Nothobranchius furzeri: one gene and its partners. The main gene of each other region encodes a partner of the protein of the gene in region 4 in a complex. Links are inferred from orthologs where the notes say so. Each region holds a gene or a part of one and is shown on either strand. Other genes may lie near its edges. The genes, in order: ints12, ints6, ints9, ints4, ints7, ints2 and ints11.

The links.
Region 1: ints4 (region 4) and ints12 share a complex: the UniProt entries of both Homo sapiens proteins name them as parts of the integrator complex. The link is inferred for Nothobranchius furzeri from reciprocal best matches to the Homo sapiens genes INTS4 and INTS12.
Region 2: ints4 (region 4) and ints6 share a complex: the UniProt entries of both Homo sapiens proteins name them as parts of the integrator complex. The link is inferred for Nothobranchius furzeri from reciprocal best matches to the Homo sapiens genes INTS4 and INTS6.
Region 3: the proteins of ints4 (region 4) and ints9 are in contact, whole or in part, in a cryo-EM structure (PDB 8RC4), measured with the Homo sapiens proteins. The link is inferred for Nothobranchius furzeri from reciprocal best matches to the Homo sapiens genes INTS4 and INTS9. Residues at the interface, in NP_291025.3 of Homo sapiens: Leu53, Gln54, Leu57, Gln58, Arg61, Lys62, Pro86, Ser87, Leu90, Lys91, Ser94, Gln125, Gln129, Asp132, His164, Gln207, Asp208, Pro209, Arg210, Arg212, Asp244, Tyr245, Glu246, Gln247, Trp296, Phe837, Gly840, Leu841, Val842, Val843; in NP_060720.2 of Homo sapiens: Lys2, Tyr4, Lys18, Ser21, Thr22, Leu43, Val44, Gln45, Glu87, Glu89, Leu90, Asp92, Asp97, Thr122, Glu145, Arg146, Val147, Pro148, Lys159, Glu174, Ser176, Thr177, Ser192, Gln195, Phe206, Gly207, Ile379, His380, Ser384, Asn385.
Region 5: the proteins of ints4 (region 4) and ints7 are in contact, whole or in part, in a cryo-EM structure (PDB 8RC4), measured with the Homo sapiens proteins. The link is inferred for Nothobranchius furzeri from reciprocal best matches to the Homo sapiens genes INTS4 and INTS7. Residues at the interface, in NP_291025.3 of Homo sapiens: Glu536, Met539, Asp540, Arg571, His572, Ala574, Tyr575, Asp578, Ser579, Ser610, Phe613, Arg620, Leu624, Leu627, Gly631, Glu634, Leu635, Phe638, Arg641, Asp642, Arg645, Leu646, Glu648, Leu649, Gln650, Lys677, Leu678, Trp679, Asn680, Val681; in NP_056249.1 of Homo sapiens: Lys137, Asn138, His140, His141, Arg144, Gln145, Gly175, His205, His206, Asp207, Ala208, Ser244, Ser245, Leu246, Val247, Lys282, Thr283, Pro284, His285, Thr286, Thr321, Ile322, Lys325, His326, Gly686, Tyr689, Glu704, Gln707, Gln708, Leu711.
Region 6: ints4 (region 4) and ints2 share a complex: the UniProt entries of both Homo sapiens proteins name them as parts of the integrator complex. The link is inferred for Nothobranchius furzeri from reciprocal best matches to the Homo sapiens genes INTS4 and INTS2.
Region 7: the proteins of ints4 (region 4) and ints11 are in contact, whole or in part, in a cryo-EM structure (PDB 7BFP), measured with the Homo sapiens proteins. The link is inferred for Nothobranchius furzeri from reciprocal best matches to the Homo sapiens genes INTS4 and INTS11. Residues at the interface, in NP_291025.3 of Homo sapiens: Leu159, Asp161, Thr162, Arg167, Tyr203, Gln207, Asp244, Ser292, Gly294, Trp296, Arg299, Lys323, Met326, Ser327, Asp328; in NP_060341.2 of Homo sapiens: Pro183, Trp191, Lys194, Asp212, Gln288, Gln400, Gln404, Lys462, Met465, Ala466, Leu469.

Annotation. Positions count from the first base shown.
Region 1 is NC_091746.1:80,674,993-80,679,024, forward strand, and holds the start of ints12 (integrator complex subunit 12), read left to right. Parts: upstream 1-1,232; 5' UTR 1,233-1,359; intron 1,360-1,614; 5' UTR 1,615-1,622; coding exon 1,623-1,778; intron 1,779-2,803; coding exon 2,804-2,953; intron 2,954-3,165; coding exon 3,166-3,347; intron 3,348-3,459; coding exon 3,460-3,619; intron 3,620-3,698; coding exon 3,699-3,848; intron 3,849-4,032. Other genes in the region: gstcd (glutathione S-transferase C-terminal domain-containing protein), read right to left, coding at 445-858. UniProt on the Homo sapiens protein: Component of the integrator complex, a multiprotein complex that terminates RNA polymerase II (Pol II) transcription in the promoter-proximal region of genes.
Region 2 is NC_091754.1:31,095,990-31,099,945, reverse strand, and holds the start of ints6 (integrator complex subunit 6), read right to left. Parts: upstream 2,801-3,956; 5' UTR 2,574-2,800; coding exon 2,463-2,573; intron 2,325-2,462; coding exon 2,247-2,324; intron 1,759-2,246; coding exon 1,609-1,758; intron 1-1,608. UniProt on the Homo sapiens protein: Component of the integrator complex, a multiprotein complex that terminates RNA polymerase II (Pol II) transcription in the promoter-proximal region of genes.
Region 3 is NC_091742.1:17,904,515-17,907,601, forward strand, and holds part of ints9 (integrator complex subunit 9), read left to right. Parts: intron 1-670; coding exon 671-791; intron 792-1,266; coding exon 1,267-1,401; intron 1,402-1,472; coding exon 1,473-1,584; intron 1,585-1,668; coding exon 1,669-1,849; intron 1,850-1,990; coding exon 1,991-2,051; intron 2,052-2,363; coding exon 2,364-2,535; intron 2,536-2,617; coding exon 2,618-2,742; intron 2,743-3,087. UniProt on the Homo sapiens protein: Component of the integrator complex, a multiprotein complex that terminates RNA polymerase II (Pol II) transcription in the promoter-proximal region of genes.
Region 4 is NC_091753.1:58,549,107-58,553,063, forward strand, and holds the start of ints4 (integrator complex subunit 4), read left to right. Parts: upstream 1-1,157; 5' UTR 1,158-1,230; coding exon 1,231-1,284; intron 1,285-2,005; coding exon 2,006-2,200; intron 2,201-2,298; coding exon 2,299-2,416; intron 2,417-2,535; coding exon 2,536-2,642; intron 2,643-2,968; coding exon 2,969-3,083; intron 3,084-3,460; coding exon 3,461-3,546; intron 3,547-3,624; coding exon 3,625-3,675; intron 3,676-3,752; coding exon 3,753-3,841; intron 3,842-3,957. UniProt on the Homo sapiens protein: Component of the integrator complex, a multiprotein complex that terminates RNA polymerase II (Pol II) transcription in the promoter-proximal region of genes.
Region 5 is NC_091742.1:7,888,369-7,892,422, reverse strand, and holds the start of ints7 (integrator complex subunit 7), read left to right. Parts: upstream 1-1,254; 5' UTR 1,255-1,374; coding exon 1,375-1,468; intron 1,469-1,609; coding exon 1,610-1,739; intron 1,740-2,026; coding exon 2,027-2,173; intron 2,174-2,266; coding exon 2,267-2,404; intron 2,405-2,500; coding exon 2,501-2,547; intron 2,548-2,622; coding exon 2,623-2,822; intron 2,823-2,909; coding exon 2,910-3,032; intron 3,033-3,106; coding exon 3,107-3,224; intron 3,225-3,333; coding exon 3,334-3,468; intron 3,469-3,613; coding exon 3,614-3,711; intron 3,712-4,054. Other genes in the region: dtl (denticleless protein homolog), read right to left, coding at 592-652. UniProt on the Homo sapiens protein: Component of the integrator complex, a multiprotein complex that terminates RNA polymerase II (Pol II) transcription in the promoter-proximal region of genes.
Region 6 is NC_091750.1:42,407,117-42,411,309, reverse strand, and holds the start of ints2 (integrator complex subunit 2), read left to right. Parts: upstream 1-1,393; 5' UTR 1,394-1,467; intron 1,468-3,167; 5' UTR 3,168-3,182; coding exon 3,183-3,475; intron 3,476-3,560; coding exon 3,561-3,699; intron 3,700-4,193. UniProt on the Homo sapiens protein: Component of the integrator complex, a multiprotein complex that terminates RNA polymerase II (Pol II) transcription in the promoter-proximal region of genes.
Region 7 is NC_091755.1:39,105,287-39,108,786, forward strand, and holds part of ints11 (integrator complex subunit 11), read left to right. Parts: intron 1-368; coding exon 369-507; intron 508-579; coding exon 580-644; intron 645-1,032; coding exon 1,033-1,222; intron 1,223-1,302; coding exon 1,303-1,386; intron 1,387-1,462; coding exon 1,463-1,552; intron 1,553-3,500.

The DNA of each region.
Region 1 (4,032 bases), on a different chromosome or scaffold from region 4:
ATTTAAATGTGCGTGTGTGTTCCTGATCTACTTAATAAATGTTTAAAAACATTCTTCTTAACTGAAGTATTTTTTGTTTACCCGTTTTTATTTAAGACTTGGTCAGTTTATGATTTGTTCGATTACCTTTGGCTAAATGTTTGATTTTAATACGAGCGGTGCAAAAAAAATTAAGATACAAGAGTTGTTTAAATTCAGAGTTCAACAACGGATCCATGTTCAGAAACGTTGTGCATCATGTTTTTGTCAGTGACATCTAAGCATGCAAATAAGGTGGAAAATGTCGAGTTATCGGCCGCGAACATCGGTAGCAAATATCGGCCATCAGCTGACCATGACCCCCATATATCAGCATCAGTATCAGCATCTGAAAACCCCATATCAGTGGATCTCTACACCTGATTTCCCCAGACACCCAAAAGCTGACGCTTGTCTCCCACTGACCTCCGCACAGGCCTTCAAGCAGGTTTTTTTGAAACCCAGCAGCTCCAGAACATCCTTCCTGGAAGGGTCTTCCTCAGTGGTTTTGATGATAATGTGCCTGAGCACCACGGCTAGTCCTGCCCTGCACAGGCGCCCGCTCTCATCCACCGCTGCCGGGAGACGGCAGCTCCTCACCAGCTGGGGCAGATCCTCCAGCTGGACCCAGCTGACACCAACAGGCACTGGGAGCTGGCTCCTGAAAGCGTCCGAGCAGCTACTGGTGTAAACCATGAACACTTTGAAGGACTTGCACTCGCAGTATGATAGGAGAAACATAACTATGGACGTGTGCAGGGGGAGACGCAGCTCCTCGTTCTGGGAACAAACCTCTAAGAAGAGGGAGAGATGTTGCTCTTTTTTCTCGTTGTGCTTCATTGTAAATAAACTAGAAGGACAGTAAAACAATCAGTTAGTTTTATCATTGTTTTAGTGTTCTCTGTTGGTACTTTTACGTCTAGATTACTTAAATTCAACATATGACCCAAGAAAAATGACTTACCTGAAACAGGCGGACCGGTGTGTTTTGGTGATTCTTCTTCTGCTGTTTTTTCACTAGCATAGCTCCACAGCGCCGCCAGCGGTCTTCTCAAACGTTTCAAAACTCTCTTCATGAAAGAGTAACACCTATGTACAAAATATGTACCGCAAAGGAAAACATACGTGGGATGAATACTTATTTTATTATAACCAAAATAGTATAATAACCACGCGAACGCGAATACAAATTTCGCAAAACGTTCCGCCCTTGCAGACTCCGGACATATTTGTCGGTTACTCAAATGTGAAGACGAAACGCCGACGGAAGTGTTGCTCAGTTTTCCGTTGTTCAATAGAAAGAAAATATTCCGGTAAAACAGAAAATACACCCAGTCTCGGGTAAGCCTGTGTTTATGATAATTATGAGCTTCAATTTTAGAATTATAAAGCGACCTCGGTAACTACCGCGGTGCTTCTGTGGTTGTAGTCCGTCTTCCTGTTTTTACTCAGAAACCAAATATTTGCCAATGTTTAAAGTCATTCACAGCAGTTGGATCGGTGGGACTCGGCTTATAGGCGCCGGCAGTTCTTTTTACTTTGATGAAATGATACTAATTCACAGCATTACGTGAATTGTTATTGTTTGATTTCTAGTGGAAGCGATGGCTGGACCTGTCAGTTTGGAGCTGGATCCCATCTTCCTAAAAGGACTGAGTTATCTACATTCCAAGAGCAAAGATTCAGCTGAGAAGCTCAAAGCTCTACTTGATGAGTCCCTTGCTAGAGGCAGCGATTCCTCTTATCGCTCTTCACAAAAAGTAAGATAATTCATTCTCATATACACTCACCTAAAGGATTATTAGGAACACCTGTTCAACTTCTCCTTAATGCAATTATCTAATCAATCAATCACATGGCGGTTGCTTCAGTGCATTTTGGGGTGTGGTCCTGGTCAAGGCAATCTCCTGAACCCCAAATGCCACGGGCTACCTGAGCATTGTTTCTGACCATGTCCATCCCTTCATGACCACCTTGTACCCATCCTCTGGTGGCTAATTCCAGCAGGATAATGCACCGTGTCATAAAGCTCCAGTCATTTCAAACTGGTTTCTTGAACATGACAATGAGTTCACTGTACTACAACGGCCCCCACAGTCACCAGATCTCAACCCGATAGAGCATCTGTGGAACGGGAGCTCCGTGCCCTGGATGTGCATCCCACAAATCTTCCATCAACTGCAAGATGCTATCCTACCAATATGGGCCAAGATTTCTAAAGAATGCTTTCAGCACCTTGTTGAATCAATGCCACGTACAATTAAGACAGTTCTGAAGGCGAAAGGGGGTCAAACACCGTATTAGTGTGGTGTTCTTAATAATCCTTTAGGTGAGTGTAGAGAAATCCCCTTAAAGAGCAAGTCACCCCCTACCAGAGTCTTACTCCACTCCCACTTCCTGTTTGAAAAATGCAACAAATGCTGTTACCTGGCAGACCGAGGGGGTGGAGCCACTAACAAATACACACACAGGCTCACAATGACTTTGTGACATCATAATGTACTTCTTAGACAATAGCAATGGCAGAGTTTTTACCTGAAGACGACGTAACACTGACAGTTTTAGGCAGATTATTTAAATTTATCTAAGATGCACCAAAGTGCCAAGTTATTGACTACAAGTGTCTACAGCATGATTAGACACTCATTTATATAGTTTATCAGCAAGAAAGAAATTTGGGGGGGGGGGGGGGGGGGGGGGGGCTGACTTGCTCTTTAATGTCATTCGTATGACATTGTTTTAAAACCAAGTGCTTGTGCCTTCTGTGTGATTGTTTTGTCCTCAGGAGGTGGAAGTGTCAAAGGCATCCGTGTCAAAGCTGAGTTTAAGTAAAGAGCCCAAGTCTTCAAGTTCTTCTTCTGGCAGCAGCGGTGGAAGTAGTAAATCCAGCTCAGAGAAAGGCAAGAAAGAAGGCGAGAAGAGGTCATCAGAGAAGGTGTGGAAGACATTTTTCCAATTTTTACTAATGATCCCAGTAATCTGTGTCGTGTTGCTGTTCAATTGGGAAGTAAAAGTGCACAAATGAATGAAAAGTGCATATTATATAACTCTAAAGCTTTAAAGCAGAATCCGATTTAAATATGTGATCAGGTGTTTTTTGTTTGTGTGATTTAGTCAAACTTCCTTTTGTATTTTGCTGAAAAACAGGCCAGGGTTGACGTGAGCGAAGTGGACCCCCCCAAAAAGCCTCGTTTAGAGAAACAAGAGAACCGCTCCTCTCCAATCACATTTCAGACGAGCAAAGACCTCCTACCAAACATAAACGACTACGACGAGACAAACGCTGACGACTTTGCCATGGAAATGGGTCTGGCCTGCGTGGTTTGCAGGTACGAGTAGCCAATCGTGTAGATTTGTCAGCATGTTATTCCCTCAAATTAATCAGATCACCATTTTAAGCAGAAATTCAGTCTTTTTTTTTTAAATAATTAATTCTCTCAGACAAATGACGGTGACCATGGGAAACCAGTTGGTGGAGTGCCAAGAGTGTCATAATCTCTACCACCAGGACTGCCACAAACCTCAAGTGACTGATAAGGAAGTGAATGACCCACGGCTTGTGTGGTATTGTGCCCGTTGCACCAGGCAAATGAAACGGATGGTGAGGAAAATCAAGTCACGATCCTGCATCACCTTTTTAATGATGAACTAACTTGTTTGTTTGTTTGTTTGTTGACCAGGCTCAGAAGCCTCCTCAGAAACCATCCCCTGCATCTGCATCTTCAGCACCGGTTGTTAAAGACCCGCTGGTGAAAAAGACAGAGCTGAAGGCTAAAACCGATACAACCAGCACCTTCCAGGCCTTCAAGAGGACAGAGGTGAAGGTGTGTGTGAGTATTTTAATTAAAAATGACATCCTCAGTCTTGTTTCTACTAACCAGTAAGGGGTTTAGAGGTAAGAAAAGCAACAGGAACAGTTCCTTTTCTTTCCTTAATTGTTTAGAAGATTTGTTTCTGCGTTTGGATTCAGACAATATGGCAGTTTTAGTGTCAAATATATTCAATCTTATTAGT
Region 2 (3,956 bases), on a different chromosome or scaffold from region 4:
CGCTTCCAAAGAAAAGCCCAGACTGAGTTCCAGCACCAGGCGTGAAACTTACCGCGTAAGCTAGCTATACCGTGGACAACGTGAAGGTTAACACAAATAAGGACTTCTTCTCTAAACAGATTTTTCTGTTCCTCCTTCCAGAGAAAACATAAAAGCAAATCCTCAGTTCCATCTTACTAAATGGTGGGAACTGTGATGAATGGAGACTTTGACACGTTTCAGATAAGCTTTAAAACAGCTGTCTACACTTCACCCCCACCCCCCCCACATGGCTTCACTTTGAGCAGCTACAGCCAAATCATAAACTAACTAAATCGATGATGTCATCGGGCACATTGCCTGAAACGCTGAATTGCCTGCAGGTGTCGTGGGCTTGGTGAGTTTAGAGTGAAACCAACATACTGGAAACTGGTTTTTGTCCGTTCTACTTGGAACGTTTTCACACATTCATAAACGAAAACTTGTTATTTCTCAATATTGTTTTATTTTCTCTTTAGAAAAATCTTAATTACCCTGATGTTTCAGTGAAACTTATCTTGGCTTGTGTTGCTGACTTTTAGGTGAAACTGTAGATTTTCCTAAATATAAAAACTAGAACAAGCTCTCATCTGTGTTAAAGCATTTAACACTCATTATGAAACTTGTTTTCTGCTATTTTAAATTGGATTCAGTCTAATAATTCTCCAAATTGATAGCAGTTCAGCATCCATGTGCCAGAAGATATTAACTTTTAGAACAACATGGAGTCTAAGTTTTCCGGTCGGCTCATGGGTTCCCGGAAGAACAAAACAAAAAAAGAACGCAAGTCCACGGGACTTAAAGAGCTATTTTCTAATCCGCTTTGCTTTACGCCCTGGATCGCACATATGTTGTATTTCAATGAAAAGTATTGATGTGTTTGGATCACGCCTGTCACGTGTTTTGAGATTTATCGTAAATACTAGGACTACAGATCAGACGTCAGTACACCGCATATCGTATATGATGTCATCACAGAATATCCTCTCCCCTAGCGTAGCTGCTACTTCTCACATGGCCAGATTTATAGTAGTTCTTTCCTCCTGAAAGAAGGATTTGACATTCGCAGAACGTACAGCCATTTTTTCTGTTCATGTCTGGTTCGATGTCAATTCGTAATGCGTACTTGTAGTCCTGAACGTTTCACACAAGACCTAAAATAACTTTCGCCCTCGTTTGAAAATAAGAGCTTTCTTGGCATCAAAATGTTAAATTTCACGGATGTCTTGTGAAAACCATACGGGATCAGAAAATAGCATTTTTAGCCTCATTGACTTGTACTCATTTTCTCGTTCTTCCGGGGCCCCGTGGTCCTGAAGTAGATGGGCTTATGCTAGATTTTGTTTCAGAAATATAATCTGGTGCATATGAGATTAGCCTCTTTGCAACCTGCATCTAAGTTTTATGACTAAAAAGACATTTTAAAATTATAGCATGAAACACTGGACTTATAATCGGTCCCTGCTTCTTTGGTAGTTATGTTTGTGTGTGACTGCAGGGGTGTGTTTGGGTAGTAGATGCTTGTAGGACTGGGGCAGGGGAGTGGGGTTGTTGTGGGTGCGTTTAGTACATTTCCAGGGGACTACATACCTGTCCATAGTTGTCTATGCCAGTCACTAATCTATTGAGATTGAGTAAATCAAAAGATGTCCTCAGGGACTGTCCAACAGTGGTGAGTCCAGTAGCTTGGAGGTTCCTCAGCTCTGTCATGAATGTGGCGTGGCTCTCCTTCCACCCAGCCTTTATGGACAAAACAAAGCACGTGATTCATAAAAGCTACTGTTCTGGTCACTAAACTACTTTAAATAACTTATTTCCAGCTTTAATGTGGAAGTATGATGATATTTAGCTGGGATGAAGATCAGCGCCGCAGCCTGGATCCTCTCTGCTGCTGGTGTGACACCAGCTCGGATCACACATGACGATGTGGCACGGTCGCAGCGTGTTCGGGACAAAAGCGGCAATTTTCTCTCTGCTAAAGTAGTCTAGTTGTCCGTCACCCCTCCTCCTCCACCTCCCTCCCTCTCTCATATCACCTCTCTGTATAAATAACACCCAGAGTTCCTTGCTGCTCGCACTGAAATAAAATGTCGGCCATGTTTTAAAAGGGGTATGAAAGCTCCTCCTGGAGATTTTCTCTACAACAATTGATCACAAGGCGGCGGGGAGATGGAGGACAGTCAATCTGCGCAATGTAAAGCTGGACATGACCCGAAAGCAGATTCTACCTTGATCCCGAACGGAGCATCTTCAAAATTTACCAGCATGTACCGGTCCCCTCGGCTCGCCGGATCTCTCCCTCTGAGCTGTGGAAAATAGAGAATGATTTACGGTTACTGGGAGATCTCGGCTTGACAAGGCGAACTTGCAACAGCACAACGATAATCCGAACTAGAATCCCGTTTGGGATCTCCCAACATGAATGTGTCCCGTGGTCACAGTACCTTCATAAAAGTCTCAACAGCGCCTTTTGCTATGTCCAGATAGGTAGTGCCCAGATGGGTGCGCTGGTTCATTGAAGCGGACGTGTCTATCAGAAAAAGTAAAACGGGCATTGTGATGGTAATGACACGTTCTGCATGGACTTGGTGTCAGTACAACCGGCCAAAACGCAAAAAAAATCTTTTGTTCTCCTGCCGCCTGTCTCACCCCTCAGCTAGCTAGCTAGCTGGCTAACTGTCTCACACATTCTTTCAAAAAAGTGTAAGAATAGTGAGTATAGAAGCCCATTCCGGGAAAACTAAGCTAAAAGCCTCGAAACCTTGGGGCAGGTTAATGATTTACGATGGATTTTGATAATTTTTACAATATATTGTAAATATTCCTAAGTTTCATAGTAACAAAGTTCCCCCTCATAGTGACTCCCTGCTTCTCCCTACACTGAATGCGTTGTGTCTTCTCCGTTGCTTTTAAATGAAGCCCCGCACCTGACCCCGCCTCCTAAGCGCTCTTTTTCTGTCACGTGCAATCAACCCAGCTTTTGATTGGTTGAAGGAAGCCACTTATTAACATATCCAAATAAGGCCAAAGCTAGTTCTCTAGTGCGCATGCTTGCTTAACCAAATGACAGGAATGCAGGGAAAAATATTATTCACATACATTTTGTGTTTAGTAACGCGACACATGTGGTAGGAAAAGCCTTTTTGGAACACCCCAGCTGTTTTTCTTTAGCACCAGTTATCAACAGCCTTGTGTTTTGCCCTGCGGAGTGATTGCATAATCAACATTTTCCTCATATATGCACGGGCGTGGGCCAGTGTGAATGGAAACCCATAAAGACAAAATAAAAAGTACAGGCTGAGATGGATGTTGTAAGATTATAACTTAAGGAAGGTAGCCATTTGTTTAGAGAAAAGGAAAACAACACACTGAAATCATGACACTGTGTGATGATCATATAAAAGATTTTAACTAACAAAACGACCAGAAGGGTTATTTTTACAGTTTTTGAACTAACATATAAAAATCAAGACACCAAATAAGTCATTGTGCGTGTACTTTTGAGCTGTTTAAGTTGATTATATGTATAAACAATTATCTGTAGACTACTAGATATATTAGTGTCACCATCCTGTTTATGGTTCACTTTTCATGCCACATGACACTGAGTGAGATAGTGCAGCTCGATCAAAAACATCAACACTTCCGCAAAAACAAGACGAAACCAACCAGTGGCTGTGATCGCAGAGGGAAGGATGGTCTATCTTATTTTTGTCGTCCTATCGCACTGCACATAGTTCATCCGGTTTGTTACTGACACGTTTTTCAAAATAAAAGTAATCCTGTGGTAGGACATCAAAAATTCTTTCTTCAGTCTGCATGGTAGCGATTTTGGTAGCACTGCTGCCTCACAGCATGAAGGTAGGTTCAAATCCTGGCGGTGGCCTTTCAGGTAATACTATTTCCTTCTGTAGGCCTAAAATATGCATGTTAGTTGA
Region 3 (3,087 bases), on a different chromosome or scaffold from region 4:
TTCTAACGCTGCTCCTGCATCATCAGGGTTCTAACGCTGCTCCTGCATCATCAGGGTTCTAACGCTGCTCCTGCATCATCAGGGTTCTAACGCTGCTCCTGCATCATCAGGGTTCTACTGATGCTCCTGCATCATCAGGGTTCTAACGCTGCTCCTGCATCATCAGGGTTCTACTGATGCTCCTGCATCATCAGGGTTCTAACGCTGCTCCTGCATCATCAGGGTTCTAACGCTGCTCCTGCATCATCAGGGTTCTAACGCTGCTCCTGCATCATCAGGGTTCTAACGCTGCTCCTGCATCATCAGGGTTCTAACGCTGCTCCTGCATCATCAGGGTTCTAACGCTGCTCCTGCATCATCAGGGTTCTAACGCTGCTCCTGCATCATCAGGGTTCTAACGCTGCTCCTGCATCATCAGGGTTCTAACGCTGCTCCTGCATCATCAGGGTTCTAACGCTGCTCCTGCATCATCAGGGTTCTAACGCTGCTCCTGCATCATCAGGGTTCTAACGCTGCTCCTGCATCATCAGGGTTCTAACGCTGCTCCTGCATCATCAGGGTTCTAACGCTGCTCCTGCATCATCAGGGTTCTAACGCTGCTCCTGCATCATCAGGGTTCTAACGCTGCTCCTGCATCATCAGGGTTCTAACGCTGCTCCTGCATCATCAGGGTTCTTCCTGGGCCGCTGAAGGAAGCTGTTGACGTGTGGACGTGGAAACGATGCTACAGCATGCATGAGGTCAACTCAGCTCTCAGCAAAGTGCAGCTTGTCGGTTATTCTCAGAAAGTGGTGAGTAGGGGTGTGTGTGTGTGTGTGTGTGTGTGTGTGTGTGTGTGTGTGTGTGTGTGTGTGTGTGTGTGTGTGTGTGTGTGTGTGTGTGTGTGTGTGTGTGTGTGTGTGTGTGTGTGTGTACTGGCACCATTTCTCTGGACATTGATACAGATTTGTATGTGAGGCTGTAGCCACACTGCTCATGTTTTTGCTCAGATAGAACCAACCGTCCTCATCATTGTGGGACCCACACAGCACCACTAGGGGGCAGCATCTGTTTTGAACAGCACAAAATACAAAGGAAGAACATTTTGAGCTTTCTAGTCATGCTTGTGTTTTGTCTGTACATGATTTAAATTGGTAGAGAATGGTTGTTTTAGAGTACAAACTAGTGTTGCAGGCAGCTCGGTCATCATTTCTGTTACAAAGTTCAGATCAAATTCCTGCTCCCCTAAAGCCGTGTGTGGACTAGAAACCAGTTTTTCCTCCTCAGGAGTTGTTTGGAGCTGTTCAGGTCTCCCCGTTGAGCTCTGGCTACTCGTTGGGAAGCTCCAACTGGATCATCCAGTCCCATCACGAGAAGGTGTCTTACGTGTCTGGGTCATCCCTCCTCACCACACACCCACAGGTAGCTCAGCTTGAATCAGATCATGGTACACGTGAGGCTTGATGAAACCTGAAATGCGTTTTCTCCTCTAGCCGATGGATCAGAGCTCGCTGAAGAACAGCGACGTTCTCATTTTGACTGGCCTCACACAGATGCCCACTGCTAACCCAGATGGCATGCTGGGAGAGTTCTGCAGCAACCTGGGTGTGTTCAGATGCTCAAAGTAAACCGTTCTTCCAGCTTTTAAATCCAAAGCATGAGTGTGTTTGTGTTTGTGTGGACCTGCAGCCATGACGATCCGGGCAGGAGGCAACGTGCTGGTACCGTGTTACTCCTCAGGGGTCATCTATGACCTGCTGGAGTGTCTGTACCAGTTCATCGAGAGCGCCAACCTGGGGACCACACCCTTCTACTTCATCTCTCCTGTAGCCAACAGCTCGCTGGAGTTCTCCCAGATCTTTGCTGAGTGGTGAGCAGCTGCTCCTCTTCCCCTCTGAACCGTAGCCCAACAGCCTTCACTGTTTCACACGTTTCAGGAGGATTTGAAATCCGATGAAGAAAGCCACAGCCTCTCTGTGACGCTCTGGTTACTTGTGCTTGATATTTCCAGGCTTTGTCATAATAAACAAACAAAGGTGTATCTGCCAGAGCCGCCGTTTCCACATGCAGAGGTGAGAGCTGCTGCTGCGGGATTCAAACTCTCAGTGAAGAACAAACGTTTCTAAATGAAGTCCAGCCTTCTTTGAACAAATGCACGTTTCCTGTTAATCCATAGGGCTCTCTGGGTTTGTGCTTATTTTCTCTCAGCTACCTTCACTTTTAGATCAGAATCAGAATTATCCGTCTTTATTATTGAATAGCTGTGGCAGCCATCTTGTTTCATCTCCTCAAACTTAGTAAAAAAAAAACAACCTTGGTTGTGTTTTGTGAACCTGCTCCACCTTTTGATGACCGCTGGTGTAAATTAGCTGTTGATGTTTCAGCTGATCCAGACCAACAAGCTGAAGCACTACCCCAGCATCCACGGGGACTTCAGCAGCGAGTTCCGGCAGCCGTGCGTGGTCTTCACCGGCCACCCGTCTCTGCGCTTCGGGGATGTGGTTCACTTCATGGAGCTGTGGGGCAAGTCCAGCCTGAATACAGTCATCTTTACTGGTAACCATCACACAGACGCTTCTGTGTGGTTCTGGAACAAGAACACAAACACAACCCTGTAACGTCTTCTTCTTGTCATCAGAGCCAGACTTCTCCTACCTGGATGCTCTGGCCCCTTATCAGCCGTTAGCCATGAAGTGTGTTTACTGTCCGATTGACACGCGGCTCAACTTCCACCAGGTGTCCAAACTGCTGAAGGAGGTCCAGGTAGGCTGCCTGCGTTTGTCCTGACACACCAGGGACATGTACACTCGTCTAAACAAGGGCAGACCGTTCTCGACACCATCCATCAGCTGGAGATCAAAGACTCCACCTGCCTGGTGATTTATGCCACTGAGCAAGGCAGCCAGCCATATCGCCATAAATCCGTCCTTTTTCTTCAGCTGTTTCTCAGAATACATATAGAATCGAGTAATCTGATTACTGGACCAGTAGTCAGAGGGTTGTAGGATTGATCCTGGTTCCCAGCAGAGAACTCTGCTGTTGTGTCCTTGGGCAAGACACTTAACTCTCCCTGCCTGCCGGTGGTGGTCAGAGGATGCCGGCGTATTG
Region 4 (3,957 bases):
TGACCTTGAATTTTTTTAAATAAAACTTTTATTTAACAAGACGATTTACAGAAAACAATTCTTATTTTCTCTACTGTCCTTTTTGCTTTCCTTGACGTTAGATGTGTGCGTGCGAGCGTGCGTGTGTGTGTGTGTGCGTGTGTGCTCTATCTTCTCGATCCCCAGTGAGTCGTGGAGGATGGCTGCTTATACTGAGCCAGGATTCTCTGGAGGTTTCTTCCTGTTAAAAGGGAGTTTTCCTCTCCACTGTCGCTGCATGCTTTCTTAGTATGAGGATTGCTGTATAGTCACTGACACTAGTCAGTGACTTGATGCAATTTGCTGGGTTCCTTATATAGGAAACATTATTTTCTGATTGGCTTAATGACCTGACCTGGATTGGAATGTTTATTATGTGAAGTGCCTTGAGACGACTCTTGTTGTGATTTGGCACTATATAAATAAACTTGAATCGAATTGAATATTGTGGTGTTTGTGCAAATAAAGAAAAATAAAAAAAAATCTGAGAAATATGCTTCTTTGTTATTTTTATACACATTTATACACATTTTGGAATGTTGTCAGTTAAAATATCTGAGATGTATGGAAATAAGTGTAAACATTCAAAAAGCCAATATCTTGTTGTTTTGTTTGCATATCGAATTATCTTATCTAAAAACATTCAACCTGCTGAACTTTGAAAAAGTGTTCTTTGTTTACCACGCATAAGATCTAAATAGATTTAAATAAGTAAGATTTCATTAATAAGGAAAGACAACTTTCACAGCCATTTTCATAATAATTTACTCATTATTATTTTTCTATTCTAAAGTTTTAATCTGGTTTAATGCAAACTAATTTATTTATAGTCCATCTTACTTAATAAAGTCAAAATTAAAACTATTGTTATTTCTTAAATTTTATTGTAGTTGCAAACTGGCAATGTTATTCGTAAATAATCATCTTTATATCAATAGACAAAGCAAAATCACTTTAAATCCCGTAGTAGATTTATAATTGTAGTCAAAATGCAAATTTACTGTCGTGTGTGTGTGTGTGTGTGTGTGTGTGTGTGTGCGTGTGTGTACGTGTGCGTGTGTGTGTGTGTGTGTGTGTGTGTCTGTGTGTGTGTGTGTGTGTGTGTGTGTGTGTGTGAAGAGGCATTTACGAAACGCGTTTGATTAGACTATCCGTAGTTACGGGAAGCGTCGAGGAACAAACTTGCATGTTTGCTGGCGTAACTACGTTAAAATGGCAGCTCATTTGAAAAAGCGAGTTTATGAGGAATTTTCTAAAGTAGTCCAGGTGAGAACAAATAAATTATCTTTATGTTGTTTACGTTTTGTTCAGCTAAAAAGAAGAACAAGCGTTCAACTGAAATTTGGACACACTTGCTAAATAGCTGCTAAGCTAACGTAGCACAACAACATACGTTCGCGTTGGGAGGGTTTGTTCTTAATTTGAGCATTTAAATCTATCATTCGTTTTTGTTACGAAATGTCGTTTAACAATATTCTGGATTGCAGCGAGTTTGAAATCTAAAACCGAGCTTGTTAGCTTCCGTCATGCTAGCTCCTGCTGACTCAGATTTTAGTTTGTAATTTGTTTTTTTTACATGTTTATTTGTGCACAGAGGTGCTATTGCATTCTTTTGAACGATACCTGGAGATCTTTGTCAATTACAGTAAATCAAACTCTTCACTTTGAAAACCAATGAAAGTGCTGTTGGGTGCAGAAGTAGATCAGCTGTCATGTGTGGGTTCTTGCTGTTTTCGTCCCAATAGCCCGACTCTCAGGATCTTCTTACTTTGATATGTAAATCGATTATTTCATAAGTTAGGATAATCATGTTAAACCCCATACATATACAAAATAATCAATAGAAATTTAAAAAACATCAGTAACATATTTGCTGCTGAATAATTTAACACAGAAAAAAACGTTTAGTGAACAGAGAGGTCATTTCCTGTTTTTTTGTTTTGTTTTGATGTTACTTTGCTTCTCTGGCTGTTTTGTTCGTTTGCAGATTCCTCATGAAGAAGCTCAAGCCAAGAAGCTGCGTCTGTCCAAACCCAGCAAGTCGGCAGCGCTGCATGTTGACCTCTGTAAAGCCACCAACTCCACCGACGCCCTGCAGTACCTGCTGCAGTTTGCCCGCAAACCTGTGGAGGTGGAGAGCGTGGAGGGTGTTATCCGCATCCTGCTGGAGCACTACTACAAGGTACGGCTCAGAGTCCTAGCATCCAGCACATTTGCTTTACCTGAAGCAGAGATGAACACACTAAGCTCATCTAGATGATGACGATGTCCTCCTCTCAGGAGACGGATAACTCTGTGAGGCTGAAGATCGCTTCTCTGCTGGGTTTGCTATCCAAAACAAATGGCTTCAGCCCCGACTGCATCGTTGATGATGCCATTAACACACTCGGCAACGAGAGTAAGACGTGTTTACACACAGATTGGTTTACATTTTATTTTGATCCCTTTCAGAATTAGTATCTTATTTGTAACAGAGGCTGACCGTGTTCATTCGTGTTTCTTCTTGTGCGTGTGCAGAGTCCCACCAGGTCCTCGCTCAGCTGCTGGACACTCTGCTGGTCATTGGGTCACAGCTTCCTGAGAGCCCAGCAGTTAGACTGAGGCTCATCGAGGTGGCCTGCAAGGTAACATGAAGTACACAGTAGGGCTTCTACTGTCAGTGTGGTTCAGGCATCAGGTCAGAATGCCTCCAGGCACGTCCGTCCAGTAGGAGGCCCCGGGGTCGACCCGGGACCTGATGGAGGGATTTTGTCTCCAGGCTGACTAGGAAATGCCTCGGGGTCCCACTGGTGGCGTTGGTGGAGGTTGCTGTGGAGAAGACAGTATGGGCTCCCTGCTGGAGCTGCTGTGACCTGACCCCAGATAAAAGAACAGAAATGAACAGAGCTGTTGAATAACAAGGCTGCTGCCTTGCTGCTCAGTAAAATTCGGTCTGTTTCCCTCCTGCTAGCACCTGTCTGACACGTATTTCGGGGTGAGGAACAAATGTCTGCAGCTCCTGGGATGTCTCGGCCTGGTGGACGCCCCTCTGACTAAAGACAGCAATGGACCGAGCTCGTCTTCAGGTTCGAGTCGTCGTTTGTGTAAAAACTTGTTTCCAGAGAACCTGACTTTATCTTTTAAAGGGTTCCTGAACAGGATTTCAGAAGTTTAAGATTAATTTTAGGCGATAAATCTTGAATCAGGACATCTGAGAATGGTCGGGATCTGGACCAAAATCAGTTCGACGCTCACAGAAAGTCTCTAAAAGACTTGAGAAACATCAGTTTGTCCTAAAATAGTTTCTAGAAATACCAAGTGTGTTTGTTCTACCACCTTTACAAAATATATGTATGTAGAATTAATTCAAACGGCAGCTTTCATTTAATTAAATAATGTTTGGAAATGTCTCCCAAGATTATCTTTTAAAAAGTCAAGTTGTGAGTTTAGCGTTTGACTTCAGGAGGAGCGAGGGATGTTCAGAGTATCATCAGTAACTACTTTGCCGACCAGGACCCCCGAGTCCGAACTGCAGCCATCAAAGCCATGGTAGGACACAGCGGACCACAAATCCTTGTCCCGATCCTCGCTGAGCGGATTACACAAGGTCTTATTTCTGTCTTCCAGCTGCAGCTTCATGACCGAGGGATGAAGATCCACCAGATCATCTACGATCAGGTCCAGCTGTTGTTGAATCTTCTCCAGAGGAGTGGCCTTAGAGTGTACTAACGCTGCGTTTTCCTGTGTGCCTGCAGGCCTGCAGGTTGCTGTCGGACGACTACGAGCAGGTTCGCTCTGCAGCTGTGCAGATGGTGTGGGTTCTCAGCCAGCTCTACCCAGAAAGGTGAAGAAGCACTTACTCCGTTGTAGGGCTGCACGATATTAGGAGAACCTGCAATATTCCATAATGATTAATATTGCGATGACGATATTACTTGCGATAAATAAAAACTTAGCTCG
Region 5 (4,054 bases), on a different chromosome or scaffold from region 4:
AAGGCTGTACCTGCCCTTTTAAGGTATGTGAAAAGCCAACGTATATAAATGCAGTGATCAAAAAGATCTGCAATGGGAGTGGTACCGGTTTGATTCCTGCTCACTCCAAACTGCCTTTAGGCAGCACACTTCACACACCTTGCTATTTCACCTCTGTAAGTCGCCTTGTATAATAGTATAATGCATAAACATAAAAAACACCGAGAACGAACACAAAGAAACACAAAAAAAGGATTTTTAGCTATTTCACTCTTTGCTGGTTATTTTGATGGTGATCACAGATAATGTTAAAGCTCAGCTAAATAAAAGTTTAGTTAGGGAATAATTATTAAATTGTGCTGGCATAAAATGTTTGAAAATACTAAAGAAACCGCAGGATGACGTAGCATTTACGTCATATGCTGATTTCAGTTGGCTTTTTGAACATTTCTTCTCTCAAAGATAAAGAACCAGAACGAGACAGCCATCTAAGATTAAACAGCTATATAGATTTTTCTATGCCAAACACAAAGGTTGATTTTTTTTCCCTATCAAGCTAAAAGCTACCAGCAGTTACAGATCTCAAAGTCCCCTAAGCGCATCGTGGCTCACCATTTTGCCTCCGTCGACCCACTTCTCTGTCAACAACAGAACGGAAAAGCACTCCCATCATCCAGTACAGAGACGATCTGAAAGAAACACTTAGAAGTTGGTCAGATCGTGAACTGGGGGTCTCCTCTTGTCTGTAGCTGCTGATTATATTTCCCGCGTATTGATCAACTAAGGGGAAGAACCAAATTACGCGCGAAGCGTTTTATTCAACTTCTATTGGCACGTTGGTGCCGCGGTTCAAAGGTCGACTTCCTTAACGGGATCGTTTCCGCTTCTGCTTCCTTTCAGGGGAAAATCCTTCAAAATAAAAGAACCACGCAGGCACGTAAACAAAAACAAACATGCGAACGACAGCATAAAAAAATACACGAAGATCACTGAGATGGAGTCATCGACGACCAAGCAGAGCTTTTTACTAGCCATGAAAAAGTATAGAAACACATATGGTTAAATAATAGCATTTTTAAATAAACCACAAATAATGATCTGTATCAGTCGAGAAAACATTCTCTCTATTTGAAATAACTGCAGAAACTCTTTTTTAATGCAATCTATTTATTTACACCACGGTAAATAGATAACCTAATTTAATTCAAGATTTTTATCTTTTGAAATAAATCAAGCATTTGTGAGTTGTGTCATGTGAAAATTTTCTTTGAAAAGCACCAGACCGGATATAGTGTTACTGTAACACAACAATGCTACTTAGCATCGCCTGAGCGTTGAGAAGATAATAGGAATAGTCATTTATTATACCTCAAATATTAACCGAAATTTTAAAAAATGTCACTTTCAACAGCGCGATCATTTCTATCGGAGGCTTGTTATGGGGAGCAAGAACTAGACGCTAATTCCGCTCTTATGGAGCTGGACAAAGGTGCTAACCAGTTAGCATAATGCTAATTGTACTGTGGTGCTGTTTTATGTGTTTATTCGATTTTTTTTTTGTTCAAATTCGATCAGTTATTGGAGGTTTGTCCGTCTTATTTTGTGACTAGAGCATTGTTTATAATTTCAGGACTGCGGTCAGGGAAGCCAGGAGAGCAGTGTGAAGCGGTGGTGTTGTTCCCCAAACTCTTCCAGAAGTACCCCTTTCCCATCCTAATCAACTCAGCCTTTCTAAAACTAGCTGATATCTTCAGGCTCGGGTATGGAAGCATCAATATTATTAGTCCATAGTTGGTTATATGCTAATTTATTTTATAGATTGTCATTACTCCTATTAAAGCAACATAACCATATTACAAAGTCAATGTTCATGAACATTAAAGCAGCCAGTACTCAGAAATGCAACAGTTCACCTTGGCCTCAATACTTAAATCACTCAAATGTAATTAACTTATTTTCTGATTATAAATATTAATTTTATTTATCTACAATCAGTCTAGCAGTGTCCCAAACGTGTTCATCTAAAGGTGCCTGTTTTTCTGCCCAGCAACAACTTTCTGCGTCTGTGTGTGCTGAAAGTGACACAACAGAGCGAAAAACACTTGGAGAAGATCCTCAACGTTGATGAATTTGTTAAAAGGGTGTTTTCGGTCATTCACAGTAATGACCCTGTGGCCAGAGCCATCACTCTGAGGTAAAGAGGATATGCTCCAGAACACTTATTTACAGCCCTCTTTTTGACACCCAATATGTAAAAGAAATTATTTTCTGTTTTTTTTTTATTCAGAATGCTCGGTAGTTTAGCGTCCATTATCCCAGAGAGGAAGAATGCCCACCACAGCATTCGACAGAGCTTAGACTCTCATGACAATGTGGAAGTGGAGGCTGCTATTTTCGCTGCTGCGAGTTTCTCTGCACAGTCAAAGTAAGGGAAACCGTGGCTGGAATGAAGCCCTCATGCCAGAAAATTGGTGGTTTTGCAAACATTAGACGTTTGATTTTACTGTTTCCAATGTTGCAGAGACTTTGCAGCTGGAATTTGCAACAAAGTCAGCGAGATGATTCAAGGTAGGTTTGCTTGAGGTGAAAAGATCATCACACACACACAGTCATGGTTGTCTTTTTAATTATTTGCATTCCTAGGTTTGGACACTCCGGTTGAGCTGAAGCTGAAGTTGATCCCTATGCTGCAGCACATGCATCATGATGCCAGTTTAGCATCCAGCAGCAGAGAGCTTCTGCAGCAGCTGGTCAACTCCTACCCTTCCACCCCCATGGTCATCGTTTCTCTGCACACCTTTACCCAGTTGGCTGCCTCCTCTCTCATCGATATCCCCAAGCAGGTAGTGTCATGTACCTGATTCAGGTTGTGCATATCTGCTTTTATCCTGAATTACATCAAAGTTACCGATCCACCTCCGTTCACCCAGTTGGAGCTCCTTCTTCAGTATCTGAAAGATGATCCGAGAAAAGCTGTAAAAAGACTCGCAATTAACGACCTAAAGCTGTTGGCTAAAAAGGCACCTCACCTATGGATCAGAGAAAATACTCAGGTAGAGATGCCGACAGTAAAATATTCTTGCAGCTGTTAAATCTGCACCGAGTCTAACAAAGGTCGTGTCTGCAGGTGCTGTGTGAGTGCGCTCTGACCATCCCGTACAACAGTCTGAAGCTGGGGATGTTGGCTGTCCTCTCCACCCTCTCTGAAACAATAGCAATCAAACAGTATTTCAGTAACGCAGCTGGTGAGTGTTATTTTTGTTTCTGCTGTTGTGAAATCGGTGTATTCATTTATTTTTTTCACGTGGAGCAGAAGAATCACTTTGAATCAAGTTGTTAAAACTTTCCTGTCAGGTGGTGCTTCAGTTCCCCCTCGGCTCACTGACCTGGTTAAACTGGCACAAGAATGTTGTTACCATAGCAACCTGGTAGTGGCTGCTCACGGGGTCATTGTGCTGTGCAACATCACGATTTCCTGTTCGGAGAAAGGTTAGTTCCTGTGGACAATGGCCTACTTGAGGGATTTCTCTAACATCACTTCCTGTCTGTTGTTTAATCTCAGCGTCTCTTTGACTCGGTCTGTTCTTGTTTTTTTTAATTGTTTTATTGTTATTTGTGGATTTCTTGTCCTCAGACAGCGTTCAGCTGGAACAGGACACGGTTTTGGGAGTGGAGTCCCTCCTGATGCTGTGCAGTCAGGACAGCAGCTCCAGTGCCCAGGCCACTCTCAAAGTAAGACATGAGTAAATAGACAGCAGTAGCTCAACAGGTTGAGTAGCGGGTTGTCCAGTAATCGGAAGGTTGCAGGTTCGATCCCGGCTCCGGTCAGAGAATTCTGCTGTTGTGTCCTTAGGCAAGACATTTAACCCACGTTGCCTGCTGGTGGTGGTCGGAGGGACCGGTGGCGCCTGTGCTCGGCAGCCTCGCCTCTGTCAGCGCACCCCAGGCCAGCTGTGGCTACATCGTATCTCATCACCATCAGTGTGTGAATGTGTGTGTGAATGGGTGAATGATACACTGTAGTGTAAAGCGCTTTGGAGTCCTTACTCTGAGAGGCGCTATACAAGTGCTGGTC
Region 6 (4,193 bases), on a different chromosome or scaffold from region 4:
CTCTTTCGGCTCCCAAGTGGCTCCTCAGATTTTCAGTTGCGTAGAGTACATTTATAACCAAAATAATGCAAAACTATGTGTAAAATGATTTACTAAATTTAAAAAATTCTATATATCAAATATTTATCATTTCTATGGATTTAATAACTGAACACTTTCAGAAATCTCCACTTTCCGACTGCTGGCGCTCATTTTCTCACCGTCTTCGTCACACTCTCCTCTCTCTCTCTCTCTCTCTCGCCATTTTCCTCCTCCTCATTCCCTCTCGTCTCCCTCCGCCCGCATGTGCTCTGCTGTGTGTCTGAGTCTTATCCTCCCTCTTCCCCACCCCTACTGCTCTGTGTGTGGACAGTCTGGACACGCAGTTACACATCTTGACCAATCACCTGTGGCTTTCACCAAAGCAAAAGGGGAGGGGGGGGGGGGGGGGACGGCTCCCAATGACGAGCCGGCTCCCGTCGTTCACTTCAAAGAGCCGGCTCTTAGAGCCGGTTCGTTCGCGACCGACACATCACTAGTGCCTTTACTACAAGCTCAAACTTTATTGAACAAAACACCCTGTCTCCCAGTCTTGACGTCATCAACCCCTGCCACCAAAGAACATCAGCTAAGGCAAGATAACAAACTCAGTCCATTGAATACACCATAATAATAACCATTCTGTCCTGTTTTGTTTCATAAAAAACTGAAAAACGTAAAATGTGAATTTATAATCTTGTTGAATAAATCAAACTGTTGGACTTTATATCTCTTGGCTCTGAAGCATTAGAGTACATAGGATAAACATATGTGCCTTACCTGGGTATGAAATTTAACAAAACTGCCATATTCTGCCCAGCTGCGTGCATCAGGTCTGTTTCTTTTATAGAATAATGGAAAATGGTGAAAAATTGGTCTAAATCATAATCAGCTTTAACTTAATTTTTGATAAAACGATACACATTTAATCTGAAGATGAGAGATATGATCTAACGTGTTAACAGCCTTAACCTAGGACAGCCTAATAATTAAGTAATAAGATAACCCCAAACGAGCCAAGAGATAAAACGTCAGTCTACATTGTGATAAAATGCAACAAGATTTATTACAAGTTCACATTTGATGTCTTTCAGGTTCTTTTATGAAAGAAACTGAAACTGGTTTGTTGCTAAATAGGAAAGGATGTTTATTATAGCGATGAGTTCACATTTTCTTCAAAACTCCTCAAGATCTGGCTGTAAACATAAAAACCTGCAGCGAGGGAATACAGCGTCCTCTTAAATGAAATAACCAATCGTAGGGGAGCCCCTTCCAACCAATCAGAGGCGAGAAAGGCGGGACCTTGTTTGATGCTAATTGAAAAAGCCAATCATAATAGAGCCCTTCCAGCCAATCAGAGGCGAGAAGGGCGGGATGTTCCTTAGACATCCTACGATTCCAAATGATACTGCTCATCTCGAACACCTGGTCAGGCTGGTCAAATCAGAGGTAAGGCCTCGATGGTCACGTTCCTCTGTTAGGCACCGAATCGGTTTATCGGGGTTAGGTAATATTAAATTCAAACATTACTTTAACTAGAAACATTTGTCAGTGGAGGCAGCCCGTAGTGTATCAGATAAGAGTAATAATCTCCATCAGCTAGCATTAGCATCCTGTTAGCATGTTAAGACTCGCATCAAAAGTACTAGATAGCTAACAGCTAGTTAGCTAAACAGACCATGGCACGTCCGGGGAACTAGTGTTTAAACTGTGACCCATCTTTGAAAACTCCATTTACTCCCAAAATGTTAAACATGAATGAAGTCTCTCAACAGAAAATAACAAGATGCACTTGTCCTTCTGAAGAAAATCGAGTTTCCTGCACAAGGATGTAGTCTTCCACCAACACTCAGCACTAGTGATGGATCAGTCAGGAACGAAATGGCTCTTTATAGAGTCTCACTGAGAGGGTAGGAAGCAGCGTGCTTCATATCAGAAGTCTCCAAAAGCAACCTTGATCATGGTCGCCTTGGTTTACCAACTAAAGGACAGTAAAGACCTCTCTGCACATCTTTGACCCGCCCACATGGAGAAGTGTGTGTGAACATGTGGAAAGCCAGATGTTAGCCACAGTTCTCTATAGACAGTGGTGATGTAGAGCAGTTTTCCTAGATCTGAGAAAAGCCTCAGATACACCTTTATGTTTATTTTCGATTTCCAGTTTTTTCTTGTTTAAAACACAGAGTAGCAACATTTTATACCTTCATCTGCTGACAGTTTCGCCCAGGGCGAGGCGCTTAAGATGGCAGCTGTGTGACACCGAAACTGTCAACAGATGAAGGTAATAACTTTGCTACGCTGTGTATTAACTAAGAAAAAAACTATGAAAAGTGAGTCACGAGATGCTAACTCGTGGGGGGTGGATATCATAGCCGTGGCTCTGCGTTGAACCTTTGTTGGGGGAACACTGAAATGACCCACTCCCCATTTGCTAAGTGCAAATCCTCGTCAACACACGCAAAAACAAATGCTATTCAGACGGAGAAAAAGCAGCTGGGATGAAATATTGTCCCGGTCTGTCCCTGACACTCGCCCGCCCGCCTACAGCTACAGAGTAACTCACTCTGGTTTTACTCACTGGTCTAACCTCTCCATCGGCTAGTTAGAACTTTAGAACGGTGCTGGTTTAAAGAAGTGATCGTCTGAAAAGCCTCGCCGGTACTGGTGGTTGTTTAAGAAATCATGGTCACAAACACATGCTTTGTTTTTGAGAGGTCCTGAAGATATATCCAACCATTTCTAACCCTACATCTTTATTTCTGGGTTATAGGTAGCATTTAAAGGGAAGACTAGATAAGAAATAAATAACTTCTTCAAAACTGTGGAGATTAAACTCTCTGCTAGTTACACACAGAGTTTGTGCTTACAGTCCAGGAGAGGTGCAATCCAGAGTCAACACTACCTGGATGTGGAGGAGTGGGGCATAATGACGGAAACCTCCCCCATCCAGCTGGTTTTAAAAGCTCTGGTGAGAGGAAGCTGCAGCTGAGATGAGAAAGTTCACGTGTGAACCCAAAAACTGCTTCGGGGATGTTTTTCATGAGAAAATGATGTCCTAGTCTCTCTAAAGTAGTTTAAAAAAAGCTTAGTGTGTCAGTGTTTCAGCTACAGTCTGAGCTCACTTGGTTTAATGTGTGTGTGTGAAACAGGGTAAAGGCAGAGAGATGGCAGACAGCGCAGGGCTGCAGTTTGTCAGTTCTTTTGCATTTGAAGCCATGCAGAAGGTGGATGTTGTTCGCCTGGCGGCCCTCAGTGATCCAGAGCTCCGGCTCCTACTCCCCTGCCTGGTGAGAATGGCCTTATGTGCTCCTGCAGATCAGAGCCACACCTGGGCTCAAGACAAGAAGCTCATTCTCCGGCTGCTTTCTGGAGTGGAAGCTGTCAACTCCATCGTAGCACTTCTGTCTGTGGACTTCCACGCACTGGAGCAGGACGCACGCAAGGAGCAGCAATTCAGGTAGCACCAATGATCTGGTTAAACATTGGACAGCATCAATGTATAATTGTGCTTGGTGGTTACAGTATTGTGTCTGCCCCACCAGAAACAAGGGAGGCGGCTCCAATGGAGAGAGCTTCCTGGTGTCACAGCTTCAACATGGCCTCACCTTGGAGTTTGAACACAGCGACCCCCTCCGTAGGCTACGCCTGACCCTCAGCGAACTGCTGGTCATCATGAACAAGGTGCTTACACACGCCGCAGCATGTCACATAAGCTCTAGCCCTAACCCCCCCGGGGGTCTATTGTTTAAGGAAAATATGTAAAAACCTTCAGGGTTTCCCCTAGAAGTGTGTGTGTGTGTATGTGTGTGTGTGTGTGTGTGTGTGTGTGTGTGTGTGATCCAGGTAGAGCTGGGCGCTATGGACCAACAATCCCTATCTTTTACTTCTATCTTTATCTTTCACTATACAGACTAGAGGTCGACCGATATTGTTTTTTTTTATTGCCGGTACCGACACGAGGCGGTTGTGGTCAGCCGATAGCCGATAAGTGCTGCTGATTTCATGGCCGATTCAGGGTTTCCACTATGTGTATTTTGCTCCACGGCAAAATAAAAGCCGCCACACCTTCAGAAGGATAAAAAAAAATAAAAAAATAAAACAACGTACCTTCAGAATAAATTAATTTTTTGGATATACATTAAAACAATGTAAATACGAGACATATATAGTCTATA
Region 7 (3,500 bases), on a different chromosome or scaffold from region 4:
TAGATTAGTTTCACCTTTTCAGTTGAATTAATTACATAAATGAACTCCAGCATCATTTTCCAATTGTTCGAGTTCCTCCTGTAGACGGTATACTATACGGTGATGATAAAAAAGCTTTCCTCTGTAGAACATTCAGCTGCTTAAAGTTGGGCGTAAAGTTTGGTTTTGTAATTTTCAAAGGAAATTTGAATTAGTAAAACTCAGCTTAGTACATCAAACATTTCTGAGGAGAGAGCTGCATTTATTTTTCAAGACCAAGAAGTTGGAAAATGACCCAAAAACTACAGACAAGTGAAGACGTAGACAGACCTAAACCTTAGCACACATAAAGACACTGCCTTTGCAATCTGAGTTGTTGTGTTTTGTAGAGCTGCCTGGATCGATAAGTGCCGTCCAGACATCCTGATATCGGAGTCGACGTATGCCACGACCATCCGTGACTCCAAAAGGTGCAGGGAAAGGGACTTCCTGAAGAAAGTGCATGAATCCATAGAAAGAGGAGGAAAGGTACTTTTACAGACTTAATATTTTACGCGTAAATGTAAAGATACTTTCTGAGTTCTTTGTTTCCTTTGCAAGGTTCTCATTCCGGTTTTTGCTTTGGGACGAGCACAAGAACTCTGCATTCTGCTGGAAACATTTTGGTATTTTTTAACACAAGCTTCATCATAACTTGTATTTTATTCTCTGCATTTGCCGTGAAACTGTTGAGATGTTACATTTGTCGGGGCTAGGAAGTAAAGTGCATGCAGCGATGTGAGGAGATAAGTCCAGGTAAGGCAGGGAAGCTTTATTTGTGTAGCACATTTCATTCACAGACGCAAGTCTAAATGACGTTAGATAAAAAGCTAATTTTCTGCCTCGTGGTTTCCGGGGATCGAATTAGATCAATTAAAACCTTTCAGTGTAAAGTCAATGCACGTAATTATAACACAGAAGGTCACATTTTTATTTCAGTAACAGTCGTAATTATTAAATTAGGCTTGAAATAATAGCTTGTTGATGGGCTAATTGGGTCCTCTCGCCGCGCAGGGAGAGAATGAACCTAAAGGCCCCCATCTACTTTTCCACCGGGCTCACGGAGAAAGCCAATCATTACTACAAGCTCTTCATAACGTGGACAAACCAGAAGATTCGGAAAACCTTTGTGCAGAGAAACATGTTTGAGTTCAAGCACATCAAGGCCTTCGATCGCTCTTATGCTGATAATCCAGGGCCAATGGTGAGTTTGCTATTTCCTTCTAACCTTTGTTTGTTTTAGAATTTAAAACAGTCCCTGATGTGTGTACCGTCTGTTTCCAGGTGGTGTTTGCCACTCCGGGTATGTTGCACGCTGGTCAATCTCTGCAGATATTTAAGAAATGGGCTGGGAATGAGAAGAACATGGTGAGACTCTCGTGGTTCCAAACATCTTTTGGTGTTTTTAATCAACACTTTAGAATAAAATAGTCTTTTTCTGTAGGTAATCATGCCTGGGTATTGTGTACAAGGAACTATTGGTCATAAGATCCTGAATGGACAAAGGAAACTGGAGATGGAAGGAAGAGCAACAGTAAGATTTCTGTTTTGAACTCAGTTGTGTTAGACCAGGATCTAATCACTAGGGTTGAGCCGGATACTCGTCTCAGTGTCCGGTACGGATAAAGCTTTTTTCACGGGTACCAGTAAAACCCGTGAATATCTGTGTCCATGCTGAAGTAAAATCCTCATTGGGTAACTGACTGTCTTCACGCTCTGTGATTGGCCAGTCACACTGAGCGCCTGCCCCTCTTTGCAAACAAAACCATCAGATGGCCCGCAGCTGCTGTCACACACACACACACACACACACACACACACACACACAGCGCTCCGTCGCGCATGATTGGAGTGGATGGTTTTATACGAGCCACAGATCTAAGTTGTGTGTTTATCAATGACATTTTCGTACAATATAGTCTCACTAATAAGCGCCAATGGAGCCAAGCTCCGGTGTGAGTTAACGTGATGATCCTGTCTAACGGGGACGGCGGGGAACCAGGACTCGACTGAGGAAATTCCCAGTCCGGTCGATGTTTTTTTCTAAACCCACAGGTGATAGAAAATAAGATGAAATAAGCCTGAATATTTTCTCCCGCTGCTCAGCTCTGTTAGAAATACGCAGGTGTCTGCTTAAGCTGGACAATATCAAGTATAACAAGGTGTTCACAGATAATTGATCTTTCATGAAAAATAATATTAATCCTTTTTTATTTTCTTATTGATTTTATTTCATTTCTAAGGTTTGGATGCCTCTGAACATTACAGAATTTTTTTTCCTCTCTAACACTGTAGAGGTCTTTAAAAATCATCTAAAAACTCACCTTTTCATCCAGGCGTTCCCTCCCTAAATGTTCTTAAAGACGGCTTTGTTCGGGTTCACACCTTCACTTTGTTTATACTCATGATTTTATTTTCTACGTTTATCACTGCTATTGTTTTTCTGATGTTTTTATTGGTTAGAGGTATTTGCCCTGATCTTTATCATGTTGTACAGCGCTTTGTGATTTATATACCAATTACCAATTTTATTTATATAGCACATTTAAACACGGCATGAGAGCCGACCAAAGTGCTGAACAAAACACACAATAAAAACAATCAAAAATAAAAACTAAATCCATTAAAATCAAGTAATCCAACCCTAAAAGGAAAGGTAGAAAGGGAATAAGTTAGACAGAATTAAAAGCCAGAGAATAAAAGTGAGTTTTTAAACGAGACTTAAAAAGGGAAAGAGAGGAAGAGAGTCTGATCGGGAGGGGCAAGTGGTTCCAGAGCTTCGGTGCACAAACTGAAAAGGCGCGCTCCCCGCGGGACTTACAGCGAGAGCTAGGGACATGTAGGAGGTGTTGGTCAGCTGATCGGAGGGATCTTGTAGGGACATATGGGTGAATGAGCTCAGACAAGTAGCCAGGTGCTAAGTTATTTAGGGATTTAAACACAAAAACCAGGATCTTAAACTCTATCCGGAGATGGATGGGGAGCCAATGAAGATTTGCTAAAACCGGTGTGATATATCTGTGAAAGGCGCTATATAAATAAACTTTTACTTACTTACTTACTTACTTACTAATATTAATAACAGGTCATGACCTAAAGTGGGTCGGTCTGAGGTGTAAAACTGTCCTGGACCTAAAAGCCTTGCAGAAGCATTTTGTTTCTATATAAACACCAACAACAAATAAATAACAGCAGCTGAATGTGTCTGCATACCGCCCCGAAAGTAGGCAGTTGGGCCCCTGACACACACACACACACACACACGTACACACACCTTGTTTTGTTTAACTTTGTGTGGGGAAAAATGCCAAGAACGTTAGAAAAAAAATTTTAATCTAAAAATAATTTAAATACAAAAGTTTTGTTTTATTCTAGTAGTTCATATTTCCGACTGCATGTGTACAGTTGTATTCATTCATGTACTTTAATGTTCAATTCTAGTTTATTTATAAAGCGCCAAATCACGACTATATTCACGGTCC